Linked DNA regions of Drosophila melanogaster. The gene in region 1 interacts genetically with each later gene. Each region holds a gene or a part of one and is shown in the gene's direction. Other genes may lie near its edges.

What was found.
Region 2: of dco (region 1) and Pdfr, changing one suppresses a phenotype caused by changing the other (phenotypic suppression), as found in Drosophila melanogaster (one study listed by BioGRID).

What each region holds. Positions count from the first base shown.
Region 1 is NT_033777.3:31,054,757-31,062,787, reverse strand, and holds the start of dco (discs overgrown), read left to right. Parts: upstream 1-1,577; 5' UTR 1,578-1,711; exon of another isoform or gene 1,712-2,323; 5' UTR 2,324-2,413; intron 2,414-4,145; exon of another isoform or gene 4,146-4,160; 5' UTR 4,161-4,248; intron 4,249-4,859; 5' UTR 4,860-4,936; coding exon 4,937-6,259; 3' UTR 6,260-8,031. UniProt on the Drosophila melanogaster protein: Serine/threonine-protein kinase which is involved in the circadian rhythm pathway, viability and planar cell polarity.
Region 2 is NC_004354.4:2,570,279-2,577,505, forward strand, and holds Pdfr (Pigment-dispersing factor receptor), read left to right. Parts: upstream 1-1,927; 5' UTR 1,928-2,388; coding exon 2,389-2,568; intron 2,569-2,695; coding exon 2,696-3,152; intron 3,153-3,221; coding exon 3,222-3,332; intron 3,333-4,193; coding exon 4,194-4,345; intron 4,346-4,584; coding exon 4,585-4,842; intron 4,843-4,913; coding exon 4,914-5,210; intron 5,211-5,276; coding exon 5,277-5,540; intron 5,541-5,615; coding exon 5,616-5,776; intron 5,777-5,838; coding exon 5,839-6,175; 3' UTR 6,176-6,727; downstream 6,728-7,227. UniProt on the Drosophila melanogaster protein: Receptor for PDF, a neuropeptide controlling circadian behavioral rhythms. Probably regulates circadian behavioral rhythms through coordination of activities of clock neurons. PDF-binding results in the elevation of cAMP synthesis.

The sequences.
Region 1 (8,031 bases):
AAAATACAACAAAATTAGGAAATAAATTGTCTTAGTATCCCAATAATGTGGCATACTTTTTTACAGTGTTCTTTGAATGGATCATTTACATACACGCGTCTCGCTCGGTTTTTATTGCTTCGCACCTACATATTTGGTTTACTTTTTTCGTTATTTATTTGTTGGTAGTTGACCATCGGTCGAAATAACGACGATTTTCATTCGTCGGCGATCGCACGTCTTTGCGTGTGTGAGTGGGAAAGATATGCTTTGAATTAGTGTGTGTGTGTGAGCGGTTAAACGAGTTGTTTTCTCGTTTTACTTGTTGTATCTTCAATTGCCTCGTTGGATTGCTTTGTTTTCTCTTTTTCCCAGCCAATGGGAGACAAAGGCGGGTTTTTACGAAGATCTTGAACGATTCACCAATAAATTGAAAATGGAGATTTCTATAGTTGCATAAAAAAAATGCATTCTGGCTAATGTATATAAATACAGCAATGGAAAATTAAAATCGTAGGCAAGTGCAATTAATGTGATTTATTTTGTCTATATTTCATTTTAAATTGCCAGCCCCAATATCGAATCGTTACACTCTTTTCACCCCTTTTTTTGTTATCATTTTCGAGTGATTGCTTATCTACCCTACCCCCACTTAAAAAGAAACACACCTTGGCACATACTCCCAAAAAAAAAAAAACACATTTTCTCATATATGCATACATAACTGGATCTGCTTCCTTTTTTTATGTCATCGTTTCTTGGGTTACACAGCCGGAAAATGCACGATGTGAGGGTAAATGGGGAAAGCGGTTGGGCGGACTAATGGAATTCACACGTGTTTTGCTTTATTCGTATTGCTGCAATAAAAGTATACGTTTCAGGTATTTCGATACATCTGTGTAACATCAAAATTGGCATGCTACCTATAACTGCAAGACATGCCAATGAAATCCATTTTCAATTTCTATTTACACGAGAATTTGGAGCACAAGCCTGTAAAAAGAGTTAACAACTTTTCTTAAGAACATTGCAAATTAAGACATAAATTTTATTTACATATTATTGAGTTATCAAATTTGTATATTAGTATAAATATCATTTCAGAATGATTTTTTTTTTTTTGTATTGTTTATTGTATTCTCTTTGAAAATAAAATTAAGCAGATGGGCCTTTGAATGCATAATTCAAAAACTTTCAATAACTTTAGATATTTTCAATTGCATTTCTGAAATAAGGCGCCACCTTTTGTTTCGGGCGCCACCTGGATACCACTTTCGCCAACTCATCCGCTAGGTGGCGCAGCTCAAAAATATTTTTCGTCCATCTGGCAGCACTGGGTCTATGTAAGAACTAGTGTGCCCATATAACAAAAACAGCGTTGTCAACTTGGCTATTTCACAGCTTTCCAGTTACTCGAACTTTGAACTTATGGCTAGCTGCAAGGATATAATTTCGTTTTTCTTTTGATTTTCCAATACTCTTGCGCTATTTTCTTAATGTGGTACTTCGAAACCAACTTTGGACTATCTTAACTTAGTATATGAATCACAGTTTTTCACAATTACATATCTTCTAGACATTCGCTGAGGAGTAAATACCAGATGGTAATTTTCTTCATTATCGGCGCGGTCACACTGCGAATATCAAGATGGCGTAAATTTGTAAAAAATCGTCGAAATCTATGTGAAATAGCCAGAAAAATTGAAACGAAAGCGCAGCGTTGATGCAAAACGTAAGTGGTCAGTAGCGTTTCGGATCGACAGACCCGTTTGCGAGCGAAAAAGCGGCGGTTACCACGCGCAGGAAAACTCGAATTTCCCAACAGCATTTCAGTGCTCATTGAGAGTGCGAGTGTGTGAGTGAGTGCCCTCGTCTTTGTGTTGGTGTGAAAATGCTGAAGCAGGAGGGATAGCAACGTGCTCGCGGTAGAAACCGTGCGAGTGCGGGCGGGACGACTAGTGTGCACGAATCTATTGCCAGGGCAAACGACTCGCATAAGTTTGGTTTTTTTAATAAGAGTCCGAGTTCCGTTTGGTTTCGTTTAATTTTCTCGAGTTGATTGGCAACAAGATGCTAATCAATGTGGCCATAAAATCAGAGAAGAACAGCATAACCGACTCGAAGATAAACGATAAAAATAACTGAAATATGGCAGCAATGCAGTATTATTAAAATTATTGCATAAAATGCGCTTGCGTGTGGCCCCAAAAAGTGCGACTGTGTGCGTGTGTTTGTGTGCGACTGTGGCAACTACAACAAAAACAACGTCTGGGCTCTAAAACAAAGAAAATGAAAATTATTGTGGCAGAATCAATCCAATTAAAAAATTCGATTTCGATTTCAGTCGAATTAGAAGAAGGAAAAGCAGCGTCGCCAGCAGAGGAAGTGGGCAAAGCGGAATAGGAAACAAGGAATATAAGAAAAACAAGCCACGGTAAGTGCGGAATTTGTTCCACTGTGCGTTCAAGTTTCCCTTCTCCACCCGCTATCGGCTGCTCCTTATCAGCCCCGTTATTCGCAGTGCATTCGTGGAGTGCCGTTAGTTTTCGGAGGCCATTAGCGTTTGACAATTAATTGCAAGTTTCCTTCCCCTTCTGAGGTTTCCCCGTTGGTTTTGCTCTGGTTTTTGGTTTTTCCATTTGCTCTTCCCTGTTTACTTAAGCTTTTTACTTTTGTGGCGCCTGCTGGAACAACTGTTTTTTGTATCTTCTTTGTTCTCCAGTGCGTTTTTTTGCGGAAGCTTTTCGGCAGCCGCCAACGCAACGTGCAGCTGTTTTGCAATTGTAATCAATTCGTGTTTACCCGCTGGTCCGAAACAACTGCTGGATACCCTGGGAAATATTTAGTTACCAATAGGAAAGACCGCGTTTTCCCTGCTAGCCTTCCAGTAAACAAATTAAAGCTCCTAAAATTAATACCACATTTCAATTTGACTTACAGTGCTTATACAGTGATTTCTTTCTGTGTAGAACATGGGAGATACAAATAAAAAACGGTACATTTCGGTTAAATAAATCAAAGCCAAGGCGAAAACAACAACAAACACAGGCAGGTTTTGAGGTTAGAACCGCAGAGTGAGTGATAAAGAGTCGGGAAAAGGAGGAGAGAGAGAGAGAGAGAAAGAGAGAGAGCGATCGAAATGCGTGAGCGGTAAAAGAAAGCGCACAGAATGTGGGAAAGAGGAGTGGGAAGGGGTTAGTGAGTGAGAGCCGCCGAAAACAATTAAACTAAATTTTTGTGATATTTGACCGGCAAGTGAAAACTTTCGGCTTGTTGCTTCGTTTTCTGACTTCCATGCGCTTTATCTTCGCTATTTGTTTGTGCTTTCCACCACTGAAAGTGTCATTTAAGTGGCATTTTCACAGTCGCTGCGTTTTATTTTACTTCTCTCCCTTTTGTCGCCGATTGTTTACTCCACGCATACACAAACACACGTCTCTTTTATCTATTTGTTGTTAATCTCTTCGTTGTCTTTTCCTGATTGCTGATTCACCTCCATGTTTCTGGTGTCGTCACGTAAAAAATACACTTGAAAAAAAGAATTATATCTATTCAAGGATGTAAAAGCACTACGGCACATTTGCTTTATTTTATAATAGTACAATATAATATTAAAATGACTAAAACAATAATGTGACGAATGTCAAAAAGTAGTGCTATTTTGCTCTGTGCATATAAATTATCGTTACTCATCACTTATTAAATCTGTTGTTTTCCCCATTCGTAATCAATACACACAGCCGAATGCAATGACGCACTCACTCTTAAATATAAATATACGAGATAAACTTTTACTTTGTGCGAGGTTCGGGTTCTTATCATTTTTGCCCACTGTGCATTTGCATTTCGAATTGCTTTTGGTACGCTTTTCTCTGCTATTTTTGTGTTGTCAACGTAAGCCAAGCTTACTTCTCTCCCGCTCTCTCTCTCTTGTTTTATTCTTAGCTAACGGTTTTCTATTTTCGATATCGATTGTTGCCGTGCGTTGTTTTCATGTCTGTGTGCCACAATCCTTATCACCACAAACAAAAGCGAATTCTGCACGTTTTTCGGGCTTACGCTGCAGATGCGATAAAAACAGGGGATTACTCTCTATATATAAGTGATCGCGAGACGGGTCGAATTTCGATTAACCATGTTGAGGATCTAAAAAAAAATTAACTTAGTACCTCCTATTACAGAACCCTTCGAATACAAAGCCATAAGCGACTGCCTTGAACAAATCGGAACAAGAAGAAGAAAGGAGCTCAGACGAAAGGACAGTGCCAGGTGAGAAAAGTGGAGAAGTGTTGGAAAATACTCACGAAGCTCCGTTAGCTCTCAAAATTAGACTTTTAGCAAACTGTACAAAACAGCAGGGTTGTCATCACGTGTCACAATATAGTGTCAGAAGAATCAAAAGTTGTAGCAAACAAAATCCGACGAATATTTTATCACTATCGCTAACAAGGCGTTCGATATTGTGTTGTTGCTTGCAAATAATCTCTTCTAATAATATCACACATTGTTGCTAGTGGTCAATAGCCGAATTTTCGAAGTCACTTGATTCATATTTACTCGTAAAAACCTGTGACGCCGCTGCTATTTCTATGATTAGTCAAAGCAACTAAGAATACTACGAATATTTACATTCTGATCGAATTCAACAATTTGCCTGCATCGTAGCAACCTTTCAATATCCTTTCGCGATTACAAAGTAAAAGTTTTAGTCCTTGGCGTAGATATTTAAATCTGTATAATATTTTAAGCGCAGCTAATCTGAACTGGGATCGATCAATTCGTGTAGCGTGTAGTATTATGAGTAAGAAAAGCGTACAGCCTTCTTTTCGAGGCAATGTGTTGTAAAATTAAAACTAAATTTCAATTCTCCGGTCCCGCAGAAAGGCAACGCAAATCCGAGGAACCCGAGGAGTCCGAACTCTACCACACAGAAACCCACAGAAACAGACGTAACAAAATGGAGCTGCGCGTGGGTAACAAATATCGCCTGGGCCGCAAGATAGGATCGGGATCGTTCGGCGACATCTACCTGGGCACCACGATCAACACTGGCGAGGAGGTGGCCATCAAGCTGGAGTGCATCCGCACCAAACACCCCCAGCTGCACATCGAGTCAAAGTTCTACAAGACGATGCAGGGTGGCATAGGCATACCCCGCATAATCTGGTGCGGCAGCGAGGGCGACTACAATGTGATGGTGATGGAGCTACTCGGACCCTCGCTGGAGGACCTCTTCAACTTTTGTTCACGCCGCTTTTCGTTGAAGACGGTTCTGCTGCTGGCGGACCAGATGATCTCCCGCATCGATTACATACACTCGCGGGACTTCATCCATCGCGACATCAAGCCGGATAACTTCCTCATGGGTCTTGGCAAAAAGGGCAACCTGGTGTACATCATTGACTTTGGCCTGGCCAAGAAATTCCGCGATGCCCGGTCGCTGAAGCACATTCCCTATCGGGAAAACAAGAACCTCACGGGCACTGCCCGCTATGCCTCCATCAACACACATTTGGGCATTGAGCAATCGCGTCGTGACGACCTGGAGTCCCTGGGCTACGTCCTAATGTACTTCAATCTGGGCGCCTTGCCCTGGCAGGGCTTAAAGGCAGCCAACAAGAGGCAAAAGTACGAGAGGATCTCGGAGAAGAAGCTGTCCACCTCGATTGTGGTGCTGTGCAAGGGCTTCCCCAGCGAGTTCGTCAACTATCTGAACTTCTGTCGCCAGATGCATTTCGACCAGCGTCCCGATTACTGCCACCTGCGCAAACTCTTCCGCAACTTGTTCCACCGTTTGGGCTTCACTTACGACTATGTGTTTGACTGGAACCTGCTTAAGTTTGGCGGACCTCGCAATCCCCAGGCGATTCAGCAGGCGCAGGACGGAGCGGACGGCCAGGCGGGTCATGATGCGGTGGCCGCAGCAGCGGCGGTGGCAGCAGCGGCAGCCGCCTCCTCGCATCAACAACAGCAGCACAAGGTCAATGCGGCGCTGGGTGGCGGAGGAGGCAGTGCAGCGCAACAGCAACTCCAGGGCGGCCAAACGCTGGCGATGCTGGGCGGCAATGGAGGCGGTAACGGCAGCCAACTGATCGGCGGCAACGGACTCAACATGGACGACTCGATGGCGGCCACCAACTCGTCGAGACCGCCGTACGACACGCCGGAGCGTCGGCCTTCGATACGGATGCGGCAGGGAGGCGGTGGTGGCGGCGGTGGAGTGGGCGTAGGCGGTATGCCGAGCGGCGGAGGGGGCGGTGGCGTGGGGAACGCCAAATAATATTTTATCGTTTAGGTTGCGACGCTGGACACGACACAGTAGACAAACAACAACAGAACTCAACAAACTATACATGTAGTATATATAGTTATATATACCTAATATATATAATACTTGCTTTATATATGCGGTAAAACACGTTGAATGTATCCAAGCGGCAGGATGACCAGGTCCCTGCCAGAAACGGAGGACAAGAGCAGTGAGAGAAGAAGAGCAGAGCATAGCAAAGCGCAGCGCTTTTCTTTTTTTGTGTGTACATTTTCGTTTGTTTTTTGACATTTTGGTTTCTGCTCCCAGATGTTAGAACGTTGAGCGCGCTTATTATTAATTAACTAGCCTATGATTAATTTAATTTATACTATTAGAACATAAACGATTGCAACCTGGCTGCAAGAAACTGCAACAAACCGCACTGTTCAATTGATTTGAGATCCCTGCCTGAAGATTGGCCAATAGATCGGCGGTTGATTAGGGGTCCGCGGAAGGGTTTGGGAGGAGGGTTAGCAGGACACGCAGGCATTTAATTCTGTTTTGCATTTGACTATTTGCTCTTGGCCGGCTCAACTTTTTCTTTGTTAACTTGAAGTCCCAGACCAAATCAGGCAGAACATGCAGAACCGATCATGAACACATAATAACTCGATTGTAAGTGTAATATTTGTGTAAAAGAAACAAAGGACACCGCGTTCAGCGAGTGTCCCTAACCCTAGACTATAGGCTCTAGCTCTAGCGAATCCAATCCATACAAAAGCATATGCCACACAGCAAGGCACCCACATTGTAACCTAAGTTGATGGTAAAATGATTGCGATTACCACGTGCAGTTCTCTAGCTTTAAGCAACGCTCTGACTTATAAGGCCCTCCTATGTTATATTATGTAACCTTCTGTACCGCCTACTCCCCTATCTATATATATATATTTATATATATATATATATATATATATATATATATATATATATATATATATATATATATATATATATACTTTCGTGGTCTGCACTTTGCTGCCTGTGTTCATATATATCTTTCCGATTTTTAAACACTTAAGCGCGCATTTCCCGAGCGGTGGGCAAATGGGATGCGAGATGTGGGAGCTGGGAGTTGGGGCAGCCCTTTGTTTACGCAACAAAATCATGTAACTAAGATAGAGAGCATATAAATTGCGTTAGACATACACAACAAAACAATTGCATTAACGTTTCGATTTAACAATGTAAGTAATGGCCCTGCGGAGGAAAGTTACACAACGCTAGCTAATAAACTATAGCTATAATATGAAATTTGTTTATAAGTAATACCAAACCGTAAAATAAAAAAGGAAAATGCAAAAAAAAAACTTAAATTCTAAATGCGCCAAGAGATAATGAATGGGTAAAAATATGAATATACATTAATATAAACTATATCTTATGAGAACACGTAAACATGTAAACCCCACAGCGATCGGCTGGCTAAGAACTAACAAATCAAAGAAATGCAAAACACAAATCGGATCACTGAACGCAGAAGCCACTAAAACTTAAATAAAAGTACATTACGTGATATTTCTTACAAATTGTTTTGTTTTCTAATCGGTTTGTTTCAGTCATTTTACTTTTATTTTTCGAACACAACTCCATTCGAAGCGCACGCCTTGCAAACGACCAACCTTGTAAACACGACCATATAGCGCATTCAGATTAGGGGATCCGCGACCGTGGAGAAGCCCCAATCCTCCTCCCCAAACCGAGAATTGAGAACCTAGTGATGAGTGTACATAAGAATAATA
Region 2 (7,227 bases), on another chromosome or scaffold:
CAATTTTCAAGTCGAGCGACGTCAGCTGAAATTACTTTATAATCTTGTTGATTGCTGATTGCACTTATTGCACATTTAAAGCTCCGTCCACTAACGAATTTAAGTTCACATAAATCCTGATTGCCTGTCACTATCCACTATGAGTATCCACCCATCAAGTGGAATTGACAAGCTATTTGGGGCATTGCAATGCGTGTTAAATAATTGAATTGCTGAGTGTTCAATAAGAAAGTTGATTAATTATTCAAACGGCCCAGCATGTTTGGGTTTCCAAATTGTAAACAATCGAGTCCAGAGCTCGTTCAATTATCGGCCTGAAAATGGATTGCTCAAGTCAAAAAAAAAAATATATGCCAAGGGCGTAATAAATATAAAAATGTGCTTATGTAATATGCAAGAACATTTTGATTAACAAGCCTCTTCTCGATTGCCAACTACCAACTACCAATAATATTTGTAAGCTCTACTCTGTACACACTTTACACACAAACAAATTGCAGTTGAACAAACCACTTTCCTCAATGTAATTAAATTTTAGTTACTTTCTGTTTCTGACTGGTGCTAACTTTAAATTGCACAAGTATTTAAAGGGGTCCCTTAATCCCTCAACCCCATAACCCGCACGCTGCAACTGCTGCCAAGTGACCCAAATCAGGGTCTGTTGTCTGCTTGGAGATGCCGAATCGCGGCATCCAGCATCCATCCAGTTGGTTATCCAATCCAATCCAAGCCAAGCCAAGCCAAGCCAAACCAAACCGTTTCCAATCCCTGGCCCCGCCACTGGCTTTTCAGTCGCTTTGGAGGGGATTTTGCGCTTAGTTAGCTTAATTACGAGCGCGAGCTGAGAATCGGTTCGCTGCGGCGATAAGCATCGATTGGTAAATAAGCAGCGAATTCAAGGCTCCCGAAAGGCTTAATATCTTAATTACTTAATTATATATTTTAAATATATATATATATATACATATACCGTATATATCGTTGATTTTTTGCGCTGTGGGAGTGCTTAGTCGCAAAGTTTTTGCTAATGCTGCACTTCGTCTGACGCTGGCGCTTATGCAACCAAAATACATATTGAGCAGTACAAAGCCAGTGGAATGCCCCCAGGGATGCGGAAATGCGGAAATGCAGAGATGGATAGCTGAGGGGGGGGAGGGAGGTGGGTGAGCGTGTGGGTGGAGCATAGCCTGCATGCATGCATTCGTGTGCAGCGACTACTGGCGAAATTGAAATTCTTATGAAATTATATAAAATGCACTCAAAGGCATTTTTGGGGCAGCTTAGCAACACAAGCAACACAAGCAACACAAGCAACATGGGCAACATGAGCAAAATGTGCAACTTTGGCCACTTTGGACGACCGTCCTCCGCATGGCTTGTTTACGCAATTCCGGAAGTGAAAAAACCAAAAAAAGAAAAAGAAATAAAAGTTGAGGCAAAAAAAAGCGAATGGCAACGTGTTTCCTGTGCCATTCCGCCGCCATTTGCTGCTGCTGCTGCTGCTGCTGCAACGCAACCAAGACAGGAAGAAATCATAATTTGTCGTGTGCGATTGTCATTGAAGTAATTTACATTCCGTTTAGCCTTGGCCATAAATTGCGCAGAGGAAAATATGTGATGCCGTCATTAAAATATGAAATCTTGTTTTTCACAAAACGTGCCACTAAATGATAAACAAGCTGTTGTTTTTCATTGGGAATTACTCCATCTCATTTGTGCAATGATAAAAGCATTACATTTTCGAGTCTGCACGATCGTATCATCAGTTGTTTGCAGGACCTTGAGTTCTTCATACAAAGTTTTAGCTGCTCATTTTTAATCTGTTCCTTGTGCAGAGATTACACTTCTCCGAAAAGAGCCGACACGTAAATTGGAAAAGGGTTAGTGCAACTGTTGTTGCAATTACAATTCATCACATAGCCCGTAGTTCCTCTTCCTGCTGCACAGAAAGAAATTGGTATGTGGCGATCGTTGCAATGCCATGCAATTCAATGCCCAATTCAAAAATATTTGAAATGTGTAAACAACTCACTTGTTTTCTTTTCTGCGTGCATGTGGTGCTCCTGGCCATTTGCCATTTCGCCAGGCATAATCCCGACAATCGGTGCGATGTGGGTGATACGAGTGCGAATGCGAATGCGAATGCCAATGATATGTGTATTGTATGTATGTGCATACATATGGCGTCGTAGCGTGTGGGCGTGATGTTTGCACTCCGGTGCAGCGGGACTATAAATAAGCCGGGTATTTATTAGGGGCAATCATAAACTGCGTTAACGACGGGCACTCTGCCAACGAGAATAAGATCCGGTAAACAAAGGCACCGGTCGACGTACGTCTCATTGTGCGATAAGCTTTCAATTAAATCTGACCCGGATAACGGGGCGCATGGGTGCGGGAAATCGGAAATCGGAAACGAAAACGAAAACGGAAGCGGAAATCGAAATCGAAATGGAAAGAGATCAATTTTCAATTGCAGCCAATGCATGCATGTCCATGGGTCCAATGCTAATATCGAAAGACAAAGCTCCGTGTTCTGGAGGTCGTGTTCGCCATGCAGACTCATTGGTTGGTTGGGTTTAACTCGTACAAAGTTTGATGGGTTTGGGATTGTTTTTTTTTTTTTTTTAGAACGATATAACTCGATATAATGCTGGTGCGTAAATAACAACGATGTTCATTGTTCGCTTTGCAGCACATTTACTATGCGGTCGATGGCAAAATGACCCTCCTGTCGAACATTCTCGACTGCGGAGGCTGTATTTCCGCCCAGCGCTTCACCCGCCTGCTGCGCCAGTCCGGCTCATCAGGACCATCCCCATCTGCACCGACGGCCGGAACATTTGAATCAAAATCCATGCTGGAGCCAACATCCTCGCACAGCCTGGCGACCGGACGCGTGCCACTACTGCACGATTTCGATGCCTCGACAACGGAATCGCCGGGAACGTATGTCCTCGACGGTGTCGCCAGGGTGGCCCAATTGGCCCTGGAGCCCACCGTCATGGACGCACTGCCCGATTCGGACACGGAACAGGTTCTCGGTAATCTCAACAGCAGCGCGCCCTGGAATCTAACGCTTGCGTCGGCAGCGGCCACCAATTTCGAGAACTGCTCGGCGCTTTTTGTCAATTACACCCTACCACAAACAGGTACCTAAAGCCTAATAACTTTTAAATCATATTGCAGTATTTTTTTTTTTTTTTTTGTTGCCGGGATAGGACTCTACTGCAATTGGACCTGGGACACATTGCTCTGCTGGCCACCCACTCCGGCTGGAGTCCTTGCACGGATGAATTGTCCTGGCGGCTTTCATGGCGTAGATACGCGCAGTAAGTAACTGAAATACACTCTAAAAAAAAAGCAGCCGAAAAAGAACATGCTGAGTACAATTAGCATAATTAATCGTTGAAGCTGTTTAGCTGTTTAGCAGCCACAAGAAGCTTTATGACTTCTGCCGGCTTATTAGGAGTCAAAAGACATGTCCTACGGTGTTTATCCCATCCACACGGCATATCTGGCGGTCACAATCATACGGATCATTAGCTGGGAAACGGTTCAAGTGGTGCACGGCAAACAATTACTTGATTCCGTATTCATCGAAAGGATGTCAATATTTACATGCATGACTGGGGGCGTCCAATCAACCGCACTCCCAGTCGGGGCCGCCCCTCCTTGGCTTCCATCGCCGGGGGCTGTCCAGGTGTTTCATGTGCACCCTCGAGCTCCGCCAGTTGAACAGGGTTTAAAACACCAGCCAATCGATTGCTTAATTACGATCCTAAATGCTTGCTCTACCCCTCCGATAAATTAAACGTTCTGCAATGGGGAATTGCTATTTAATAACCATGGGCGATATACACTGAGCGAAAAGATTCTAAGTAGCTGACTTACCACCCAATATTTTACAAACTTAAAATGCTCTTCCATTATCACTAGTGAATGTATTATCTGCGCTTGTGGTGCAAAATCTAGGCATATCGAACTATATCTGTTAAGAAATAATTATTCGAGTGCATTGTTGAGCTACGGCCTCATTTCTCCGGGCCGTGTCTAGATTTTTAGCCCCAATATTTTCAACTGGACGAGGTCGGTCGCCCATTCGATTGGCATAATTGCACTTGTCAGTCAGTGTGTCAAAGCTCGATTACTGTCATTAATCCAACCCAACCTCCCTCTTTTTCGGTTCGCAGAATTCGCCATCCGAAAGTGTGAGCTGGATGGTCGATGGGGCAGCAGGCCAAATGCCACGGAGGTGAATCCGCCGGGATGGACGGACTACGGGCCGTGTTACAAGCCGGAGATTATCCGTCTCATGCAGCAGATGGGCAGCAAGGACTTCGATGTGAGTTGAATTCTTTCCACACTACATCATAATACCTGTTTCAGTTATAGTTAAGAGCATTGCTTAAATGCCAACCAAAATCCCAAATCAAGGGTATGGTTTTGAAATTACCTAATAGGGTTCCAAGTTTTTTAGACACCCTAAAAAGTGATTTCAAAGGCCTGATTACATTTGTTGATAGTGGTTTATAGTAGTAGTTTTAATTCCATTTCTTCCAACTGGTTTGCGATATCCCTTAGGCCTACATAGACATTGCCAGGAGGACTCGAACCCTGGAGATCGTGGGCCTCTGCCTCTCCCTGTTCGCCCTTATAGTTTCCCTGCTGATCTTCTGCACATTTCGCTCGCTGCGAAACAATCGCACCAAGATCCACAAGAATCTTTTCGTCGCCATGGTGCTGCAGGTGATCATTCGCCTGACCTTGTATCTCGACCAATTCCGGCGGGGAAACAAGGAGGCGGCCACCAACACGAGTCTCTCTGTCATTGAGAACACGGTAGGCTTAATATTCCCGCATAAGGATAAGGTATAAGGCTTATGTTCGATATTATATGTTATGTTCTACAGCCCTATTTGTGCGAAGCATCCTATGTACTTCTGGAGTACGCTCGTACCGCCATGTTCATGTGGATGTTCATCGAGGGCCTTTACCTGCACAACATGGTCACCGTGGCCGTTTTCCAGGGCAGCTTTCCCCTCAAGTTCTTCTCGCGACTCGGCTGGTGTGTGCCCATTCTGATGACCACCGTGTGGGCGAGATGCACGGTCATGTATATGGACACCTCGCTGGGCGAATGCTTGTGGAACTATAATCTCACGCCCTACTACTGGATCCTCGAGGGGCCACGACTAGCGGTCATACTGGTGGGTAATATCAACTGTTGATCGCTTTAATCACCTATTCACCCAACTGAAAACATCCGCATGCAGCTAAACTTCTGTTTCCTGGTGAACATTATCCGAGTGCTGGTAATGAAGCTGCGTCAATCGCAGGCCAGCGATATAGAACAGACTCGCAAGGCAGTTAGAGCGGCTATAGTCCTACTACCACTTTTGGGTATAACCAATCTCCTGCACCAGCTGGCTCCTCTGAAAACGGCCACGAACTTCGCGGTCTGGTCGTATGGCACCCACTTTCTCACCTCGTTTCAGGGATTTTTTATAGCGCTAATTTACTGCTTTCTAAATGGCGAGGTAAGACATCAAGTCACTCAGTTGTCCATTTGCCTAAAACCCTCACTATTTCCAACCAAAATATATATTTTTTAGGTTCGTGCCGTGCTACTAAAGAGTCTGGCCACCCAGCTGTCGGTGCGAGGTCATCCGGAATGGGCGCCGAAAAGGGCATCTATGTACTCGGGTGCTTATAACACGGCGCCGGATACGGATGCAGTGCAGCCTGCAGGAGATCCATCGGCCACTGGAAAGCGGTAAGCATCCGCTTTGTGCACACCCCACCTTGAAACTCCTTACATCAATTTAAAACTCCCAGAATATCACCGCCGAATAAAAGGCTGAATGGAAGAAAGCCGAGCAGTGCCAGCATTGTGATGATTCACGAGCCTCAACAGCGCCAGCGACTGATGCCCCGGCTGCAAAACAAGGCGCGGGAAAAGGGCAAGGACCGGGTGGAGAAGACGGATGCGGAAGCGGAGCCGGATCCGACCATCTCCCACATTCACAGCAAGGAGGCGGGCAGCGCGAGATCGCGAACTCGCGGCTCCAAGTGGATAATGGGCATCTGCTTCCGGGGTCAAAAGGTACTAAGAGTACCGTCAGCGTCATCCGTGCCACCCGAGTCAGTTGTATTTGAGTTGTCAGAGCAGTAGACCAAAACCTAGCCTAACTAATAGATGTAGCCATAGCCGTAGCCAAATAGCCGTAGAAGTAGCCAACGCCATGTAGCCCACCACCACAGTAGCCAGCACCCACACAATCGGACCGGAAATGATCCCAAAGATAACCCAGAACCCGACTATTCCTGCATCTCCCATCGACCCACCAAGCAAGCCAGCTGGAAACAGCACATATGTAAAATACCCCAACAAAATATCGCAGTTCTTATACCCAAGATCATTTTGAACAGAAAGTAAGCTCATTGTTTTGTAATTCAAATTAAACCAATAGACATTTAATTTAAATAGTTATTTTCGCTTGCCTTCGGTTCTTGCTCCACTGTACTTATGTAAATACATACATACCTTTATTTGTGTAAGCCATATCCAAACCCTTTCCAAAATCTAGAAATCTCCTATCCTTTCGAAATCGGCTAATCCTACGAAAATTCAAATTTCCCTACAAGTTTTACAAAATATTTTTGATGACAATAAATTTCCAATAGCGTCACCTTCTGTTCTGGACACGCAAATACATTCAAAAACACTCGCACACGGTTCTTACTCGATGAATTTTTCAGCAAAACTTCAGCGGCATGTTCTTTTACTTCTACTATTCATATTTAAATATTAGATTGAAATATTTAAGTGAATTAACACAAACTTGCGGTAACTGCGCAGTGTGGCCAGGCTTTGTGAGCCATTAGAACTTATTACATAACATAATTGAAAAGTGACATTGTTTAAAGGAACTCACCTTTAATCAACTGTTGAACTTGCTGTTCATCGGATTCCGTTATTAAGTTTTAAGATTTGGGTTTACTTGTATTTACATTTTCTTTACCACTTTGATTAGCTTACACTTTCCGTTCCTGAGCTGGTCACACTGCCAGCTACAATCGATCACGTTCACTGCAACTGCCTTGAATTTTGCTAGCTGCGCTTTGTTGTGCAACAAAAACTTTGCCACAATCGATATTTAACTAATGGGGTCCATAATCGGAGACACATAAATGCAATAAATATCTTTTCGGCTATTCTCTCCT